Canis lupus familiaris: one gene and its partners. The protein of the gene in region 3 interacts with the protein of the main gene of each other region in a biochemical or structural test. Links are inferred from orthologs where the notes say so. Each region holds a gene or a part of one and is shown on either strand. Other genes may lie near its edges. The genes, in order: SH3BP5, GTF2I, BTK and IBTK.

The links.
Region 1: the proteins of BTK (region 3) and SH3BP5 form a complex in vitro, tested with the Homo sapiens proteins (2 studies listed by BioGRID, with this or other methods). The link is inferred for Canis lupus familiaris from reciprocal best matches to the Homo sapiens genes BTK and SH3BP5.
Region 2: the proteins of BTK (region 3) and GTF2I form a complex in vitro, tested with the Homo sapiens proteins (4 studies listed by BioGRID and IntAct, with this or other methods). The link is inferred for Canis lupus familiaris from reciprocal best matches to the Homo sapiens genes BTK and GTF2I.
Region 4: the proteins of BTK (region 3) and IBTK form a complex in vitro, tested with the Homo sapiens proteins (2 studies listed by BioGRID). The link is inferred for Canis lupus familiaris from reciprocal best matches to the Homo sapiens genes BTK and IBTK.

What each region holds. Positions count from the first base shown.
Region 1 is NC_049244.1:27,769,723-27,775,132, reverse strand, and holds the start of SH3BP5 (SH3 domain-binding protein 5), read right to left. Parts: upstream 3,278-5,410; 5' UTR 3,263-3,277; coding exon 3,119-3,262; intron 1,367-3,118; coding exon 1,304-1,366; intron 1-1,303. UniProt on the Homo sapiens protein: Functions as a guanine nucleotide exchange factor (GEF) with specificity for RAB11A and RAB25. Inhibits the auto- and transphosphorylation activity of BTK. Plays a negative regulatory role in BTK-related cytoplasmic signaling in B-cells.
Region 2 is NC_049227.1:5,653,322-5,658,222, forward strand, and holds part of GTF2I (general transcription factor II-I), read right to left. Parts: intron 1,764-4,901; coding exon 1,662-1,763; intron 1,127-1,661; coding exon 1,061-1,126; intron 726-1,060; coding exon 542-725; intron 1-541. UniProt on the Homo sapiens protein: Interacts with the basal transcription machinery by coordinating the formation of a multiprotein complex at the C-FOS promoter, and linking specific signal responsive activator complexes.
Region 3 is NC_049260.1:75,700,312-75,705,963, forward strand, and holds the start of BTK (tyrosine-protein kinase BTK), read right to left. Parts: upstream 3,371-5,652; 5' UTR 2,907-3,370; coding exon 2,853-2,906; intron 513-2,852; coding exon 342-512; intron 1-341. UniProt on the Homo sapiens protein: Non-receptor tyrosine kinase indispensable for B lymphocyte development, differentiation and signaling. Binding of antigen to the B-cell antigen receptor (BCR) triggers signaling that ultimately leads to B-cell activation.
Region 4 is NC_049233.1:42,943,687-42,948,587, forward strand, and holds part of IBTK (inhibitor of Bruton tyrosine kinase), read right to left. Parts: intron 3,136-4,901; coding exon 2,958-3,135; intron 1,740-2,957; coding exon 1,140-1,739; intron 1-1,139. UniProt on the Homo sapiens protein: Acts as an inhibitor of BTK tyrosine kinase activity, thereby playing a role in B-cell development. Down-regulates BTK kinase activity, leading to interference with BTK-mediated calcium mobilization and NF-kappa-B-driven transcription.

The DNA of each region.
Region 1 (5,410 bases), on a different chromosome or scaffold from region 3:
AAAGAGACTTGATTCATCAGAAGTCAAAAAAAAAAATTAAATAAACATGCAGATTTGGGGCACCTGGGTGGCTCAGTCAGTTACCCATCTGCCTTTGGCTCAAGTCACGGATCCCAGGGGCCTGGGATTGAACCCTGAGTCGGGGTCTCTGCTCAGGCGGGAACCTGCTTCTCCCTCTCCTCCCTTGCTTATGCTAATAAATAAAATCTAAAACAAACATGTATATTTTACTTTACCAGGGGGAGAAGGGCAGCCTCAGTGTTCATGGATACATACAATCAGAACAGAGGCGTCAGTGATCATCCTTCACACACAACTCAGAAAACAGACTTTTAATCCCCTTTTTTGCAATGCCCAGATCTGGTGCCTCCAGGGCCTAGCCATGTAGTCAGAAATCAAGGCTGCCAGTGTATTCCCGGTAGATTATTCCTATCTCCCACACCCTCATTCTTAGGGACCAGATGTTTCCTGCCCTTTTCAGTGACCTTCCCTACTATTTCTCCTGCAACAGAAACAGGCCCTCCAACAGCTCCCTGCATCCCTTCAATTCTCTGATAGATTCATTCACAGGCTCTCAGATCCATGCGGGGTTTGTTCAAATTTGCTGATGGATGGTAAAACCAACCACTACTACAGCAGAGTGGGGGCTGACGGGTAGCTGTGAAGACTGCTCATCTGTTTACACTCACGTTGGAAGATGCTCATGAAATTCAAATCAAGTTCTAGTATCCCCCAAGATTCTTCCCAGCAGGAAAGCCCTTGCAGTCCAGACAGCTTTTTGCTACCATGAAGATCATTATATTCTACACGCAAACAGACAACAAGGAAATGAGCAGGGAAGTGGAAGAGGGGTGAGATTTTTAGGACAAAAAGTCAAAAAAAAAAAAAAAAGTAGAAGTCTAAGGAAATACATAATGTTTCCAGGTACAAATGTAAGGAATCACCCTGAAATATCAGAAAGACTTTGTCAACTCATTCTTTCTTATCCATTGTAGAGTGCAGGTAATTCTCCCCTCAATCCTTTCATGCTTTTCCACAGACACATGAACTTCAGTGCCCCACACAGCCCTTGGGTTTGGCCCCACGGAGCTCCCATGATGAAAACCATGTGAAATAGGATCCACATGTGTTCCACCCACACGCTGGGCTCAGCAGTGCATTTTATTCTGTCGGGCGGGCGGTTGCTCAACTCTGCGGAGGGGACGCCAGCAATCATCCTCCAGCTATTAAAACAAGATCAAGCAGGCTGGTGTCAGCAGGACTGACACCACCTCACCAGAAACAAGGACCCAGCCTTCTGTACCTCGAGTTCCGTCTCCCGTCTGTTGATGTCATCCGTGGATTGGTTTAACTTCTCCAGTTCTCCCTAGTGAAGAGAGAGAGGGAAGAAAGATGTAAAGGAATTGTCTTTTGTTTCCAGTGTGACTGAGCTCATTCTCCGCAAAAGTACTCTAGCACAATTTGGAGGAAGGGGGATGAGTCAGTATTAATTCTCAAGGAAAACAGTGGAGCCCTGGCTTGAAGAACAAATGAATGTCAGTTATTTCTGAGGCCTTTTTCTTTCAAAAATGTCTGAAGGTCCTAGGGATTTTTTTCTTAGAAGGTCAACTGTTTTCCAGGTATGTGCCTTCAGGTAAACCCACCTGTTACAAATGGTTTAGGAATCCAAACAGTACCTCCTGCCTCACAGAAAGAACTTTGCAGAAAAGACGATGAAATAAACAAAAGGCAAGCCGAAACTATAAACTCAGGGAAATGATTTAAATCAAGGGCAGAATTCTGGCATTAACTCATTAGTGGTTGAGTATTTTTCTAGAACTGAAAATCTTTTCCTTGCAAACCGGCAATCTTTAAACCTGCCTCGCTGTTTTTAACGAAACAAAAACTAGCTTTCATCCCGATCCTTCAGATAAACATTTATAAACTGACATTTTTGTAAAAAAAAAAAAAAAAAAAAAAAAAAAAAAAAAGTACCCAGCGAAGAAGTTAACTCCTTTTACTCTGCAAACAAAGGATCTCCCAAACAGAATTCCCCTACCGGGAAAACAAGATTCAGTAGCCTAAACTAGTGATTTTAATTAGTAGAATTCCTCATGCAAAGATTTTTTTTTTCCCCACCTGATCTTTATCTTGCTAATCTGCCAAAACAATTCATTTAAATGGCAACAGCTGAGTTAAATGGGCTTTTAATTGATCCGCGCGCTGAAAAACCCATTAGGGCTCCAGAAATCGCAGAGCACGATTAAAAGCAATATATATATTGCTATATATATATATATTGCAATATATACATATTGATATATATTGACTATACATACATATTGCTATATATGTTGCAATATATCGATATATGTGCAATATATATATTGCATATAGTATATACGTATATACTAGCAATATATATATATTGCATTTAGTGTATATATAGGTTTATACTAAATGATTTATGGAAAGGGTAGAAAAACGGGTCTTGGAAAGGGATGTGCTGTGCTCTTCGCCTGGAGGGTGAGGAGGTGAAGCTGTCACTCTTACATCTTGGCTCAGAAATTGTTTTTTAATCCTCTCCCTCAGAAATGGAGGCACAGAAAGCCAGGCCCCCCCCCCCCCGCCTCCTCCCCGCGGGAGCCCTGCGCATCCCCCGTCCCCGGCTTCTGCTCACACCCCGACCTCCTAACGACCACGAGCGGGGCTCTCAGCCCTGGAGGCCAAGCGGAGGTCCGAGCCCGCGGCGACAATGAGCCGGCGGAGGGGGCGGCTCGGGCGCCGCCAGGTGAGGGCTCGCGGCCGGGGCTCGGGGCGGCCCGCGGCGGGGGGACGACGCCCGCCCCCGCCCCCGCCCCCTCCGCGCCGCCTGCCCGGCGGGGGACCCCGACCCCCGCACGGCGCCCCGCCCCGCCCCCGCCCCCCTTTTCCCTTTGTTGCACATCGGCCCGAGCCGCCGGGCCGGCCGCGGCGACCCCCACCCTGCGGGGTCTGCGGGGTCTGCGGGAGCCCCCGCGGCACAGTCCGGCCGCATCCACGCGGGCGCCGCAGCCTCCCACAAGCCCCGCAAAACCGGGTCCTCGGGCCCGGAGCGCAGGCGGGGTCTGAGGTGCGCGGCGCCCCCCGCGCGCCCCACCTGGATGCGGGGGTCCACCTCTTCCTCCTCCTCCAGCGCCGGCTCCATCCCCTCCTCCTCCTCCTCCTCCTCCAAGTCCCGGGCCGACGGCGGCGGGAGGTCCGCCGGCTCCTCGGAGCGGCTCCGCTTCAGCGCCGCGTCCATGCGGGCAGCGGGGAGGCGAACCGCGCGGAGGACCCCGGAGCGCCGGGGGGGGGGGGGGGGGCGGGCAGCCGCAGGCTCGGCCGGAGCCGCCTCGCCCCAGCCCCGCGCGGTCCGGAGCGCCGCTGCCGACGCGGAGCCCGCGGGCCCAGGCGGAGCCGAGCGAGAGCGCGCGGCCGCCCCCTTCCTGCCGCGGCCCGCAGCGCAGCGCCGCCCCCGCCCCCGCCCCGCCCGCCCCGCCCCGCCGCGGCCGCCCCCGCCCCCGGCTCCCACCCGGGCCGCCCCGGCGCCGTCACAAATCCCGCGGCCCCCGCACCCCTCGGCGCGCTGGGCGCTGTGGCCGGGGCTGCCCGCACTGGCCGCCTGCTTTGGGGGCACCTCTCTCCCTCCCTGCTCGGCCGGAGCAAATCGACTGCTCGGAGCAAAGTTTGGGGTATCTTCCACGGTCTGAAGTCCCCTTGGGAAGCCTGTATTCGGTGACCCTGCACCAGCTTCAAGGCTCCCTCAAATCCCTGTGTGCCTCCACAGCACGGTCACCCCCTTGGCTGAACCTCGGGAATTGGAGCCTACTTGGAAGAGTTTCCCCCAGAACGGGAACTGAAACATGTGCTCACACGCCACAGAAGCACGAGGAGGGGAGCTGGGCGCAGCTTCGTGCCTGGATTCCTCAGTCAAGCCATGCCCAAAGCCTGTGCCCTCCTGGTCGTGGGGTGGTCCTACCTGAATAGCCAAGAAGCGTGGAAAATGCATCGGTCGTCAGGGATGTCGGGCTGGGTAGGTCCAGCCTTCTCCAGGCGGCAGCAGGTGTAACCCCTGTGTCATGGGCAGGCTCTGTCCAAACATTTATGAACGGCGAGATTTTCCTGCCTTCCTGAAAGAATAGGGAGCCAGCGCTTGCCTGGCACGCTCAACAGCATGGGCCCAAAGAAGGAATGGCAGGTGTGTGCTTTTATGAACTGTCAGGGCCACTGTGATGTCAAGGGAGCACAAATTCAGTTGACCTTAGCAAAGCAGGCAAGGACGTTGCCCCTGGCCACTGCTAATATCTCCACTACAAAAATGCAGAATGTGTGCACCCTTTACATAGAGGCTTGTGGCCCATTAGCTCTGGGAGTTTGAAGAGCAAACTTGCTTGAGACAGAGGCTGAGAGCCTATCTTTAAAGCCACCTGGGGAACACCGGTGGCTCAGTGGTTGAGCCTCTGCCCCTCTGCTCAGGGCACGATCCTGGGATCCTGAGATCAAGTCCCACATTGGGCTCCCCAGCGGGAGCCTGCTTCTCCTTCTGCCTATGTCTCTGCCCCTCTCTCTCTGTTTCATGAATAAATAAAATCTTTATAAGTTAAAAAAAAAATAAAGCCACCTTTGGGAAACCTTCTAATGGCTTCATCAGAAGCTACATTGCAGAGCAGAGAAGGGGAGGGGGGTGGTATTATTCCTTGGGCAAGGTACCATCCTGCACATGCTGGCACCGAGGTCCACTGTGAAAAGAGATTTGTTCTGTCTCCTGGAGGTAATACAGGCGTACACATTCGGTTTGGTTCTGAAACAGTCACACCTGGTCGTTGTTCTAAAATCAAGGGAGAGCCAACAGTTCTCAGAGATGTCCTGAAAGGTTTTGCAAAACACCGAGTTGCTTTTGCTTTTCCACCAGTTTCCCCAGTGGCGCAGAACGGAGCCGGTACCGGGGCAGGTTTTATCCTAGCTGTGAATAAACTGAGAGACAGAGGTTGTAAACAAGAAAAGTGAGGTCAGTCCGGACTCTCCTATGCTTCTCGGTTGCTGGAACCCCGCCCTCACCGTGCTAAACAACAACTTCCCAGATACACTTCCATTTCAGCTTAGATCAAAGAGCAAGAGAATGGTTCCAAAGGCCACCATGGACATAGGGAAACTGCCCTAGAACAGTGGTTCAGGCTTTTTTTGTTGTTGTATTTTTAGGAGACCTGGGCCAGTTACAGCGTCAATCCCAATAGTGTTCTGAAGTTAAAATAAGGAAAATAAATCACAGTACTACTCTCTGTATTCTTCACTGGGACACAAATGCATAGGAAACGAAGCAAGGAATGAACTGAGGGTGACAAGGCGGAGGTGCCTGTGTGGTTACAGGGAAGGCCTCTCTGAGAAGGGCACTTTGAGCCAAGACTGGAGA
Region 2 (4,901 bases), on a different chromosome or scaffold from region 3:
ACGTGGAACTTGATCCTGGGTCTCCAGGATCACGCCCTGGGTGGAAGGTGGTGCTAAACCGCTAAGCCACCGGGGCTGCCCTGCAGATGGAAATTTAGAATATTCTGGGGGCACCGCCTGGTGGGCTCAGTTGGAAGAGCACCCGACACTTGATCTCGGGGTCATGAGTTCCGGCCCCACAATTATGTGTAGAGATTAGAAAAAATAAATGAAGAAAGGGAAAATATTCTGTAAGCTGGAGAAATCACAGGACTTTATTAAAACTGCACGCCTTAGACCCCAGCAGCATCAACCATTAAAAATAAGACAATGGTAGACCTAACACTATCAAGTTGTTATCCCTCTGACAAGCTACAGTCCTCCTTTCCTTTCTTACCAATTATGAAAAACTTGTAAGATCTACGAAAGTACAGCTTAAAGAACTTTTTTGGGGGATTCCTAGAGCTCATTTTGTCTTGACAGAGGTGAACCCATGTACCAATCTGTCTGTATCACAAGTACAGGCTTCAAGGCCAGTCTTGTTTCTGCTAACTGCCCTTACTTTTTAATGATGAACTTAATCTTGGCCTTGTTTCTGAGTATCTTTTCCAGCCTTGGAATGCCAAAAGTGGACGGCCGCCGGAATGGCACACCCTCAGGCAGGCCCTCCACATAGAAGTCTTCTGGGAAAGATTCAAATAATGCAAACGGCACTTTTACAGCTTGCTTAAGGCCAAGAGCTTCGCCTGTAAAACACAGAGTTTCTTTTATTTCTCACATTCATCACTTTTCAAAACTCAAACTTTTTTTAAAAATGCATTTTAAATTACATTTTGTAGCTACTAAAATTATATATATATATATATATATATTTAAAGATCATACTACTTTCAATCTTAGAAAAATTTGTTCATTTTGCAGGCTCAGAAAAGTGGGAGAAATGATGGCATTCACGCTTGCAAAATGCATGCACTTCCAATGACCGTAAAATTTAAATGCTAAACATTTTATTCTGTGCACATTCTTCTACTGAAAAAAGGCCACCATATATTTTAGCACTAACATTTCAAAATAAGCTTACCGCATTTTTCATTGAAAAGATTTTCAACTTTCTGTTTTAGGTCTGTGATTTTGGCATTCCAGGCTTCTGCAAGTGAAAAATGAGACCATTACTAGCAATACTTAGCAAAATACATCTATGCTCAGCATTCTTATTTTATTGTACATTTTTAACAAGCACAAAAAAAAAAATACACAGGTTTTTAGCATAGTCATATCTTGGCAACTACTCTAATCCGACATTATTAAACTGTTTTATCATATTACTAATACATTGGCCACAAATAAATGACATAGGCTAAAATTAAAAATAAATGAAAACCAAGAAACCTCCCACCAAAACAATGATAGCATCTACTATGCGCCAGGTATGGTTCTACCCTTTAAATAACTTAGTACTTAGAATTCTCATTAATAACCCCATGAGGCAGAAGTAATATCCCCATTTTACACATCCAGAGACTGAGGCACAGAGGGGTTAAGTAGCTATTATAGTGCCTTTAATAGCTCATATATACTGACTTACCAGATAAAAAAAAAATTCACCTAGAAAAATAACATGTTTGTATTGGTTCCTTTTATTTCAAATGGATGAAATTAAGAAAAATAAAATTTATATGTACCAAAGGAAAATTCTCTCCCTCGAGGCTTGAAGGGAACATTAGAACCATTAGTCTGGGTAGGGGTTCGAACCGCGGAGGTTTGAGGGTTGTTGTTATTAGGGCCTAAAGAAAAATTAAAAGAAAAAAAATCAATCAATACACATATTTCATCATGTTTAAGTACTGCTTGTGATTCCCCTTAAAAACCAAATCAAGTTCAAACAGGACACAGGCACTGAGCAATGCAAATGGACACGCAGGCCCCAGGCCACATCCACCCATTCTTCTACTTTCATCCTTATATTCAGCCATTTTTATCCAGACAGAATTAGCTTTCCAGAAGATCTGAGGTATTTTCGACTCACTGAATGCTTCGTTCGAGCCCTTTTGGAGCCATCTAATTTTGGGGTAGCTATGTCTGCTTATGTGTTTTCCTTTCAACCCTTGATCATAATCACAATGTCAGGTACGGTTATCCTATCTCTACTAAGAAATCTTCCTTTAGATTCTCTAGCTGACTCTGGACACATCCTTCCTTTGAGGGGAAAAAAAAAAAAGATGCTTAGATGCTTATTTATTTAACAGATGGGGAGGGGCAGAGAGAGAGGGAGAAGCAGATTTCTCACTGAGCAGGAAGCCTGAAAGGGGGGCTTGATCCCAGGACCCTGAGATCATGACCTGAGCCAAACTCAGAAGCTTAACCCACTGACCTACCCAGGTGCCTCTTTCCTTTGAATTCTTAGTATAATTTAGAAACAGTGTTCTAGGAAACCAGTTGTTTTTCCATTGAATGAAGAGGACTGTTTAGGTGATTCTGATAAATCCCTGACCCTGATTCTTCTTTATGTAGGGTCACCTAATTATTAAATAGTTTATTTTAATCTGTAGCCAACCAGCAATATTTAAAAACAAAATAGTCAAAATAATGGGAAAATTTTTTAAAAATTAAGTTTCCTCAGATTTTCTTTAGAAAATAACCAACATTCTAAAGATACATCTTCAAACTCCGATTTCCTAGTTTGTAGAATATACGTATGGACTCTGGGCTTTCTGGGCTTTTCTGGGCTCAGCAGGTTAAGCGTCTGACTCTTGATTTCGGCTCAGGTCATGATCTCAGAGTCCTGGGATGGAGACCTGCACTCAGCAGGGAGTCTGCTGGAGATTCTCTCTCCTTCTGTCCCTCTTCCACCAAGTACACCCGTACTTTCTCTCAAATAAATACAATTAAAAAAAAAAAAAAACACTGAGCTTTCACCTAAACTATTTTCCTACTGAGTTACCTACTTCCTATTCTTATCTCCAATGTTTGCAACAACACTACCAACAGTGAAAGGTGCATATGGTCACTGCCCCAAGCATGTTGTGTGTTCACTAATTTAGTTTTCACAGGTAACATTACCACATCCAATGTACCCATGGAGACACTGAGTCCTGGGGACTACGTAACTTGCTGGTGACCACACAGTAGGTGCTGGGGCTGAGATACCAGCCATCGGAGTCTGGTTCCTTGGTCTTCACCACTATACACTACACACTACACACTATAGTCTCTGATGTACTTGTGGACAAGACCTTGAATGTCAGCAAGGGAAAACCTCAGTATGTGTGTGGCCATCCCCATCTTCTGAACTTAGCCTGGATATGGCCTTAGGATCCTCACCAGTATTAGAGGTGTTGGTGGGAATGGAGGATTCAATATGAAATGTATCTGTCATCCTCCATTAAATGTCAAGGGATGTCTGCGTGGCTCAGTTGGTTAAGTGTCCAACTCCTGATTTTCAGCTCAGGTCATGATCTCAGGAATGTGAGACTGAGCCCCGTTTCTGGCTCCCATTCAGCACAGGGTCTGCTTGTCTTCCTCTCTCTGCACCTGCCCCCATTCGCATATATGCTCTCTTTCTCTCTCTAAAACAAATACATAAGGTCTTTTTAAAAAAATTTTATTTATTTATTATAGTCACAGAGAGAGAGAGAGAGAGAGAGAGAGAGAGGCAGAGACATAGGCAGAGGGAGAAGCAGGCTCCATGCACCGGCAGCCCGACGTGGGATTCGATCCCGGGTCTCCAGGATCATGCCTTGGGCCAAAGGCAGGCGCCAAACTGCTGCGCCACCCAGGGATCCCCATAAGGTCTTTAAAAAATAAAATAAATACAATAAAATGTCCAGACCCAACATTCTACTCTTTAATTATTTAAAAACTCCTGAATAAAAATGCTAGCTTCCTTAAGATGGTATAGCAATGAAAGCAAAGTGTATGTGGGCTAGCTGGTTCTAGCAGCCTGTGCCAGCTGGCAGGTACAACCATGGAGAGGCCATCAGTCCCTCCCATCACCACAGCCCTGCAAGAGGCCACTAAGGCACCCAGCTCACAACTCTGCTTGTGTCAATGCTCGTAAACCAAGCCTTTGACAGTAACAGAGCAAGAGAGAAAGGAGTCTGGGAGCAACAGACCAAATGGAGTTGATTGAACTATCTAGTTCTTATCATTCTTCATTAATGAAGCAACATTCAGGTTGATAGTTAAATGAAATACCACCACACACCCTCTGGAAAAGCTTAATTTAAAACAATGACAATGCCGAATCCCGAGAGGACGAGTGGAAGCTGGAACACATACATGCCTGGCAGGAGTGTAAAATGGCAAAACCACCTCGGAAAACTGTTCAGTACTTTTGCAGAACATTAACAGCTCCATGATTCTGCTCCTAAATATCTCAAGAGGAGGAGAACATATGCCGCACTTTGTACACACATGTTCACAGTGTCGTTTTTAGACAAGGCTGGAAACAAAACCAAATGTCCGCTGACAAATGTATAAACAAAATGTGGTGAATCCACATCATGGTGGAATACTCAGCAATAAAAAGGGGATAGTGAAATATGCCCCAAGTGTAAATCAAAAAGCATTGAGAAAAAGAAGCCAGCCGTAAAAAGAATAGATACAGTAGGACTCCATTTATATGAAGTTTCAGAAGAAGCAGAAGCATTCCATAGTGACAAAAAGCAGACCAGTGGTTGCCTGTGGGCCCGACTGGGAGGGACTGGCTACTGAGGGCACCAGGGAGCAAGTCAGAGTGATGGAAATGTTCAAAAAATTGAGTGAAGTGGTGGCACAAACATTTCTCAAAACCTAAACCATACAATCACAATGAGTACATTCTACCATGTATAAATCATATGTAAAAAATTTACTTTTTAAAAGTAAAACAATTCCATACAAGCATGACATATAATTTAAAAACAGTATTAGTATAGTGCAAA
Region 3 (5,652 bases):
GACTATCAGAGGGCAAATACTATAGAAGAGTGGATGACTGTGTGTGCCTTTACCATAAAAAATGAAGAATAATTTTCAAGACGTGGATTTCATTCTCAACAGCACTTAATGAATGATCAGTTGCAAGATTCCATGGTAAGATTGCCCCCATGGCTTCTTAGCACCTTTGAATTTTTTGTGCCAACATGGCTGTAGTTAGTTCTAGGCTAAGAAACATTTTTCTGAGTTTGAAATATACCTCGATCCCTACCACCTCCCTCCTCCAACCAAAAATATCTAGTCCTCAAGGAAGATCTAAGGCTAAGTCCTTGATATTCAGGTTTCACAGCAGAAAAACTTACCCCACGTTCAAAGTCATACTCATAGTAGGAAAGTTTGTGCATAGTTAAGAGAAAGAGGCGCTTCTTGAAGTTTAAAGGTGATGTTTTCTTTTTCTGTTGAGATCGCTTCAGAAAGATGCTCTCCAGTATCACTGCAGCCATAGCTTCTTCTTTCTGGAGCTCACTTGTGTGCTGTTGATAATGAAAGTTCTTGAGGACCCAGCACATTATTCCTTATCCCTCCTGGTTCCCTCTCAACCTGACCACCTAGTTTCAAATGGAACAGAATCATGCAAAGCTAATAAAGAGCCTTCTTCCTGCCTTGACATCCTCCTTCCATAGCTTCCGTCTCTGTCAGTTTTCAGGTGTAATGGTGAATTGGAAGGACAGATTCGGCATGAGCTCACATACACTGGGTTTTTGTATAAGGCAATGGAATGCTCTGAATGTCAAATGACATGTACCTGTGTGCTTAGTAATGTCTAGAGGCCACTTTATACTAACCACCCTTTTGTGATACGTGCAGAATCTGTGAACAGCAACAGTCTCTGTGCAGCTGTTGACACTGATATCCCCAGAAGGGATAATGCAGGTGCCAAAACTTCACTGAGGCAGATATTGGACTTTCAGTTCCCAGTTTCCTAGACAGTGAATGCAATTTTTTCAAACATTGTCCCACTGGGGTCTGTAAACAAGGCATATAATAAGGATATGGAGGCTGCACCTGCAGGTATGGACATATACTAACTGCTGCCCAACTGATTTTGCCCATCAACCACTAGCTCAGCTACAAAGGGTAGAAGCTTTGTTCTAAAATTGAAAAATAATTTTGGGGGAGGGAGTTCCTTTTGTTTTGTCTTTGGTTTGTGTGTGTGTGTGTGTGTTTTAGTTTTTTTGTGTGTGCGTGTTTTGGTTTGTGTTTCCCCCTCCTTTTTATATTTTTAAAGACTTTATTTATTTATTCATGAGAGACACACAGAGAGAACAAGAGACACAGGCAGAGGGAGAGAGAGAAGCAGGCTCCATGCAGGGAGCCCGACCTGGGACTCGATCCCCGGTCTCTAGGATCACACCCTGGGCTGAAGGCGGCGCTAAACCGCTGAGCCACCCGGGCTGCCCTCCCCCTCCTTTTCTTAGATTGGTTCTTTTAGACACTGTCTTACCAAAGTGATGCAACTGTCTACTCTTATGGGTGCCATCTCTGGTTATTTACGAAAAGTAATTTGTTTACTCTCTCCAAACTTAGAATACTCTAGGAAAGATTCAGTTTAGGTAGCTGAAGTGCAAAAATGCAAAGAAAGTTACAAAAGAAATCACCATTGGTTTTTTTCATTCATACAAAACATGCTTCATATTAGTTATTCACTTACTGTTTACACACAATTGCATATTCATTTAAAGTCTATGCATAATTCCAAACCTTCCTTAGAAAGATTAAGTGAAAATATAAATACTATCACAAAATGGGGCACTTAATCAGTACAAAATAAGTACTGAAACAGATCACCAGCTTCCCTCAAATTTTGTTATAAGTGGGGTTCTTTTCTTTTTTAAAGATTTTACTCATTTATTCATGAAAGACAGAGAGAAAGAGAGAGAGAGAGAGAGAGAGGCAGAGACACAGGCAGGGGGAGAAGCAGGCTCCATGCAGGGAGCCGGATGTGGGATTCGATCCTGATCCCGTCTCCAGGATCGCGCCCTGGGCTGAAGGCGGCGCTAAACAGCTGAGCCACCCCGGCTGCGTGGGGTTTTTTTCTTAAGGAGGGATGACATTTTTTATAACTAAACTCCTTATCCTTTATCTGTCTATGCAGAATAAATAATGTCAGCATTTTTTTTCTACCTGCCAAACACAGATTATTGCTCACACCAAGGAAACAAGGGAGCAGTTTTTATCAAAGTCTGAGGCTATCCGCACCGTTATTTTGCTCTTTCCTGTGGTGTAGAAGGTTCTATTATCATACTGGGGAGACATTAAAAATAGGTTAAAGGAACACCAGGGATGTTCAAAATAATCACTTTGCCACTTATTCACCATGTCGATGCTACTGTCTTCTGGTGGTGGATTAATTCAATGGTTTATAAATGATCTTTTGAGAAAAATTAGACAAGGAGCAAACTTTTTCCCCACACCTGGTCACACAGGTTCCCTGACTACCTGGTTTAAATGGTCTCTACAGGAGTGACAAACTGATAAGACTTTACAACCAGAGTACTTTCTAATGCTCAAACCCCACAGAGATTTCTGTCAACATTAAAATTATTCATTTATTCAGAAATAGTGGTAACCAAGTAATATTATATTCTCAAGAACAGTCAACTCATCAAGATACTTGTAATGAGATCACATTTTTTTCACTGTGAATTCCAATTAAATAGCTCTTCACAATCAGAAAGACTCAACTTGCACAAGATAAAATAAAGCCTTAATGAAAATAAGTAGCATGTCCAGTAAATTGGATCAGAAGCATCCTAACAAACTACATCCAGTTTTGCTTCTTTTAGCTGAGTAAAGCATACCCATGATTTTACCTTTAGTTTTGTTGCAAGCTCTTGATGGATGCATTCCCTGCTCTGACCCAGCATCCGCTTCAGTCTTGGCCTCTGCTCTTACTTCCTATAAGATAGGTCCTTCTGGAAACTGCCTCTGCTCTTTTTCTCTTTTATTTTTATTTTCTTTTTTCTTTTTTTTTTCTTTCTTTTTCTCTTTTAGAACAAATCCAGTTTGTACAAGAGGAAGCCTTCCTCTCTTTCAAGTGTCTGTTGGGTTATGGTTTAGTGCTGGTCTAAGTATGAGGAAGTAAGTAAGCCTCTCACTAGCCATCACCCCTCTCAGCAAAAGGGTGAAATGGCCTCTACCACTAGATCATGGAGTTGAAGAATTCCCAGGATTTCCAAGGTCTGGTTGCCCCTTCTTTGACTGCTTTCCCCTTATTCCTTGTGAACCAGTCCAGACACACACAGCCTGAAAATGTGGTCGTTCTTCCTTAGTCATCACTGATTCATCCACCAATAATGTGAAAGGAGGTGCATTTTTCCTGAAGGTTGGTGTGTGATGGACACTGCATTAGAGGGCAGTTGCAACTTCTTTATGGTAGCTTCTAAATTTTCTTCTAACTATTTCAGCAGCTGACAGTTAATTTGACCACAAAAGATGCACCATGTGGCTGACCCCCCACTTCACTCAGAGGGTGGGGGTGGGGGTGGAAACCGGAAGTGACATGAATGTTAACACACACACACATTCACACACTGATGTTCACATAAAGAAAGAGGAGGAAAAATAATAGAAAGACACAGGTTCTTCATTTAAAATACAGAATTCCAGGGGCACGTGGGTGGCTCAGTGGTTGAGCATCTGCCTTTGGCTCAGGTCGTGATCCCAGGGTCCTGGGATCAAGTCCCACATCAGGGTCCCCATAGGGAGCCTGCTTCTCCTTCTGCCTATGTCTCTGCCTCTCTGTGTGTCTCTCATGAATAAATGAATAAAATCTTTTTAAAGATACAGAATTCCAGCATTATAATGTTCTCTTTTTAAACTACAAATGCAAGAATTTTCATGTGGCCACCTTTTGCAGCCTCCCAGCTTCCTATGGAGCAGCAGAATTCATAAAGAGGATGCTTGTTAATAAGAGTTCAGCCATCTTAAAAACTGCGCTATGCCAAGGAATTGATACGAAAAACACCTGTAGGATTGGTAAACTAAATCACCTTTGGTCCTATCACTGCTCAAGGTAAGATAAACACCAGAGCAAAATTCAGAAGACTACACAGCCTGCCTATGATTGGGAAGAGTCCAGGAAATGCTATTTAGAAATAACCAGTCAGTCATAGTTCAAATAGCTACTTAGCCAGAATATCCAAGAAACATCATTCTCTATTTCTCATTTAAAGCATTACTTAAGTACCAAAAAAGTCTGTCTATTCCCTTTTCTTCTGAGGGGAATGGAAGGAAATTCTTGTTTTTCTCAGTGCAGTCTACCCATCAAGCATTTTATACTCAGTATTTCATTTATTTCTTACAACAAAGAGGTGAGGAAAGTGAGATTCATGGAAGTTGTGTGATCTGCCCAACCTCATCCATAACTCCACAGCCCTTGCTGTTTCTGTGATACCTACCTCATTGCCTCCTAGAGAGATTTTTTTTTTTTTTTGCTTTCAATAAGTTTTGATGCTATCCATCTCACCACCTGTCATCCCCCATGGCTACCATCAAAGAGCAGTAGAGACAGAATCCTCTGCATCTTCTAGGAACATTTGACAAAAGAGGAAATGATGGTAAATTCAGGGGATAAGAGAGAGTACAGGATCCTGGAGCATTTTCCTCTGCAATAATCCTCCAAGCGAAAAAGGGTGATTTATCCCTGTTAACTGTCAACTGTACTTTTTCCCATATGTGGACTCTTCTTATCCCTACCAGATTTTCTTACATTTTCCTTTCAGTCTTTCGGAAAGAGATCCTAACTGGTGTTACTTGCTGTTTTCTTTTCAGGACTTTTTTTCATTGTTGATTCGATAAAAATATGAGATTTATGTGGAACACCTGCCAACTCTGTCCCTAGGGTTGTTATTGCATAGTGTGAATGTAAATTTTTGATCAAATGTACTTTGTTTTATATTATGAAGTGTGGCAAATAGTACAGAGACTAACACTACACTCAGGTACTCACCACTTAGCTCTATAAAATTCTAACATAGTGCCATAATTGCTTCCGGCATTTTTCAGAAATAAAATACTAACCATAGAGTCAAAACTTCCTTGTATACTCCTCTGCAATCAATCCCCTCCTTCCTCAGAAGTTAACTATATCTTGAATTTCGTGTTAATCATTCCTAGGCATGTTTTTATATTGTTACTGCATATGTAAGTATCCATGAAAGGTATTTAGTATTGGTTTGCATGTTTTACAGGGTACATATTCTTCAGCAACTTGCTTTTCTTCTCAGTATAAATTTTGTAAAGATTTATTTATTTAATAAAATCTTTCAAAACACTTATAAAAAAGAGATTTATTTATTTATTTTAGAGAGAGAGAAAGAGTACTCAAGCACTGTGGGCGGAGGGGCAGAAGGAGAGGGAGAGAGAATCCCAAGCCAACTCCCTGCTGAGCGTGGAGCCCCACATGGGGCTTGATCTCACCACCCATGAGATCATGACCTGAGCCACAATCACAAGTTTGAATGCTCACCTGACTGAGCCACCCAGGTACCCCTCTCAGTATAATGTTTTATCTTGGTTAAAGCTCTAGTTCATATATTTTAATTTATTTTATATGCACAAAGTATTATTTTTAAAAAAGATTTTATTTATTTATGAGAGAGAGAGAGAGAG
Region 4 (4,901 bases), on a different chromosome or scaffold from region 3:
AGATAAAAATTAAGTTGATGGACCAAAACAACAGCAAAAATCCAACAATTTACATCTGGACATAATTATATAATTTATATCACCTAAAAAAGTATCTCAATAAACTCAACTCTGTGATAAAGAAGTATCGTTTATTCTCCTTCAGTTTTACTTAGAATTCAAAGTACAGTTAATCCTTGAACAATGCAGAAATTAAAGTCACCATGCCCCCTACCTGAGTTGAAATCTGCATATAATTTTGACTACCCCAAAACTTAACTACTAGTACCTCAATGTTGACTGGAAGCCTTCCCAATAACTTATACAGTAGACTTGTATGTTTGTAGTTTGTACATTATTTGCATTATATATTGTATTCTTACAATAGAGAAAGCTAGAGAAAAGAAATTGTTAAGACAATCCTAAGGAAAATGTCCAATATGGTTTAATGGTACCATACTGAATTTATCATAAAAAATCTGAATACAAGTGGATCTGCACAGTTCAAACCCATGTTTTTCAAGGGTCAAATGCATATTAAATATGGTTACTGACAAAAAACATACCAAAACCATAGCACAAAACCCTTCAGTGTTTTTAAATAGGAAACCTGATAAATGCTCCTTCTCTGCTCCTACCCCACACATAAGATTACACTATCACAAGCAACATACATATCTTAAAAAAAAGAATTCCAAAGAATATGGTTTATATGACAAATCTCTCTTAGGCAGTTTACACATACTGTAGGACAGAACTATACCAACAAATTGAACCACTATTATCCCTCCCTTCTAAATACTGAGAAACTGAAGTTCAAAGAAACTAACAAATCTGCCTCAGCTAGTCACTAGTAGAGCCAAAAGGCAAATAAATACAGGCCTAACTCCAGAGATAGTATTTTTTCCAGCATACCACACCGCCTACCATTCCAGATCCCTGTTACACAAACAACATAGAGTTCACACCCACTAACAGCCTCCAAAGTTTTAATCCAGGGGGTCCTACAGAGATAGCTTTAGCAGAAAATGAAGAAAGAACACATACAAAAAGGCACATGGGGGTAGAACTGAGGGACGGGAAAAGACGAGTAGCAAAGAAAAAGAATTTTTAAAAGGAGCTCATAATAAGGTTCAAGGACAGATATTAAGAAGCCATACCTACTACTCAAATTACTGAAACCAAATTTCTTTGCAACATTTTGCAACATTCTTACAGGATCATCTTCCCCAATACTTTTCCCTTTATTGGAAGCCTTTGATTTGCTTTTTTGCTTTTCATTAACTGTGTGTGCTTGATTACTTCTGTAAACTTCAAATGCTGACTTCTGATTATCTTCATGGCAATGCATTTTATTTGAATGTGAATTCATAGTGCCCTGATATTCTTCTGGCTTTTTGTTTAAGTTTATTCTTGGTGTGAAGCCATGAATTAAAAAGTCACAAGTATCTGTGTATATAAATTGTAAAAGGTACTCAAACAAGTCAGGATGAACCTTCTCTATGACAAAGAGATGGCATCCTGCAGAATCTTCATCTTTCCGGTAAACATCTATAAAATCTAAAGTAGTCCCATCTGAAAGAAACAATTTCTGAAAAAAGTCAGAACGCACTGCCAAAATATATTTATGTGCAGGGAAAATTCTATTGCCAACTTGAAATGTCACATCATGAATACTGTCCGTTTCATCTGTTTCCCTTAAGAGTTTGCCAAACTCTTCAAAAAAGGATGATGAGGATACGGCTGGAATTTCATAAAGGCTAGAAATGAAACAAAAATAATTTTTACTTTCAAGAAAATGAAAAAAAAAGCATCCCATCCCTAGCCAATTCTCCTTTTAAAGTACAATTTATTTTTTAGCTATTAAACTTCTAAAATTTTAAATCTGGCATTTCTGAAAATATAAGAATACTGCAAAGTCTTAGATACTGTATCACATTTTAAAATGTGACTCCTTTTTATATTTTTTTACTAAACTGACAAGATTCAAGTTTTCCTTCAAAAGCAGAGTTTTCTATTTCTACTAGGAAATGCTAGAATGTAAATGAGTATTTCCATAGAAATTTTTTAAATGACTATAACTAAACACAAATGACTATAAAACTAAAAATATCCAGAAAAGAGTACAGTTCTCAACCTTTTCTTTGATATCCTTTTCTTTTATCCTTTATCCTTTTAAGTGAAGAAAACCAAATATACAAAGAACTGAGCAAATACTTCAGGTCAAATCCCAGAATAGGCCAGAAATTCAGGGAGGAAAAATAAATATACACACAGATATACAATCAGTCCATAACTCTGGTTCTTTAGCGCTGTAAAAATGTTATCACACCTTCCCTATCCACATTTCACCCTTTCAGGTAGGGGAAACAATCCTCCTGGTTTGCCCTGGATTGAGTGCTTTCCCAGGAGATGAGAGTTTTGGTGCTAAATATGGGACAGGCAGGCCTAGGCAAACCAGAATGGAAGTTCACCCTACTTCCAGGACTTCTTTCCAACAGTACCCTGGACATTTATCTTAACCTGTCATCTCTCTACTAATGTAACTTAGAGAATATTTGCACTGAGATTCACACTACCCTACAGATGACTATACCACCTCTTCTTTTGTTAATTATCATATTCAAGTATTAGAGATTTTTGCAAACTGTGTAATATTTATATTTCTCAGAATTTGAGAACCCAGAGTACATCAAAAAGTAGTTATAAATTTTGTGCATGCACATATGTATTTTCAAGATTTTCAATAAATACCAGTTTACAAACTAAAAGAAATACTTATCATTCCCACTATAACAAATTCCACCTCTGAGTTTTCCAGATAACATGATTTTATGTCTAAAGCTTCTACAAGTCTTGGCAAAAGCATTTCAATTAAATTTCCTCCAGGAGCTACTGAAAAAAAAAAAAAAAAAAAAAAAAAGGAAAACTCAGTGATTATTCCTTCTAAAAATGAAATTTAATATATACAAGTGTACCTTGTTTTAGGATCTGACTGCAGGATTGCAAAGTTGCATCCACTTGGATCTGTGCTGACACTAACAGCTCTATGGGCAAAAGTAAGTTTCTCAAGTCGAATTCTTTCGTATACACTATTTATATCAGAGACACAAGACACATCTGATGAGGAATTATGAAGATTTGATAAAATCTCTGCTAAAAAGAAAAATAAACAAACTTCTATTAATGGAGGCTTTATTGAAACTATTAAAATGCTTTAGGAGAAAAGAAAATAGAAAAATAAAATATGAAAGTATCTTTCATATATAAGTCCTTTTGAAGAATTATATTCCCCCGCCCCCCAACACAATTTGCACCCTATGTATAGTATAGGTACTATAAAGGAAATTTTGTTTGGTCAATTCTCAATTACCCATGATTTTGTCCCTTTCAACAAAAACATCCTCCACATTGCACCAAAGTTAACTTTCTAAGAAGCAAATCTAGTGTTACACCACCTTCTAAAACTCCTCAGCTTGCATTAAAAATATATAAACTTAGGATCCCTATAGTTTGTTATTTGGTCCCAAATATCTGAGTGACCATACTGTGCTACTGTGATGCAGTGATCATCAATCTGTCCCTAATGATACAGTAGTGAACAAGATAGGCATGTCCCTGCCATTCTGGAGTGCACAATCTAGCAGAGAAGACAGACATTAAAACAAATGATTATATCCATTACGAGTCAAATTAAGGCTATGAAAGAAAAGTATGAAATGTGCATGCAAAGAAATTATTCTTCAGTAGGAAGAATACTGAAAGTAATTAAAAATAAAGACAGAGATCATTTAGGAAACTAATAAGAAAGAATCCAAAGAATAAATAATATACATTGAAGTTGTAGCAATAAAAGTGGAGAAAAGTGGAAAGATTTCAGAAATATTTGAGACAAAAGTGACAAAATTTAGTGACTGATCGGATATAGGGGTGGCGGGATGTGAGGTGTCAAAGACAACCATTTACTTAGATATAAAACATTAAAAAGCAAATGTGGAAGCATGAGATCATGAATTCAGATTACTAAATGTGACTAAGATACAATTCTAAGACTTCCAACATTTATATGCAGTCAAACCTGCATTTTGGTTACTCTCTCAAATTCACTCTATTTCAGTCTTACAGGCCTTTGCTAATTTTTCCCACACACTCAGTTATTGCAATTTCTACTCTCAAAAAACCTAACATATGCATATTAGCATTTGTAAACTGTAAATATTAACATGTATCTATTGTCCCTACAAACTTATGAGTGTCTGAGAACAGGGGCCCTGTTATCAACATATATGTTATCAATAAAGCATAGCTCTATATGTGACACACAGTAAATCTAATTTAAATGTTTACAGACTTACATAATCTATAAAGAAATAAAAGAAATACAACAAACCTCTAATCACTCCACTGTGTCTTTGATTTTGAAAACTATGTTTATAATTTTCTGAATTAATTATAAACATTCCTTATATGTGTCTTAGCATATTCATTCAACAGATCTTAATGAGGGACTACTATGTATCAGGAAATATGCTGAATGCCAAGGACCCAGTGCAATAGTCAAGGTCCTTGCCATCTTATAGCCTGATAGGAGACAAGCATTAAAAAAACTAATCACAAAGATAAATACAGGGATGCCTGGGTGGCTCAGTGGTTGAGCATCTGCTTTTGGCTCAGGGCGTGATTCCAGACATCAGGCTTCCTGCATGGGGCCTGCTTTTCCCTCTGCCTGCATCTCTGTCTCTGTCTCTCTCATAAATAGATAAAAACTTAAAAAAAAAAAAAAAGATAAATACATAAAAACAAGTAGAGACAAGTTGCATCATGAAAATCCAAAGGGAATATGAAAAGTGAAACAGGGTACTTCAATTTAGATTGAGGGATCTGTGAAAACATTTCTGATGAAGCATAAATGAATCTGAGAT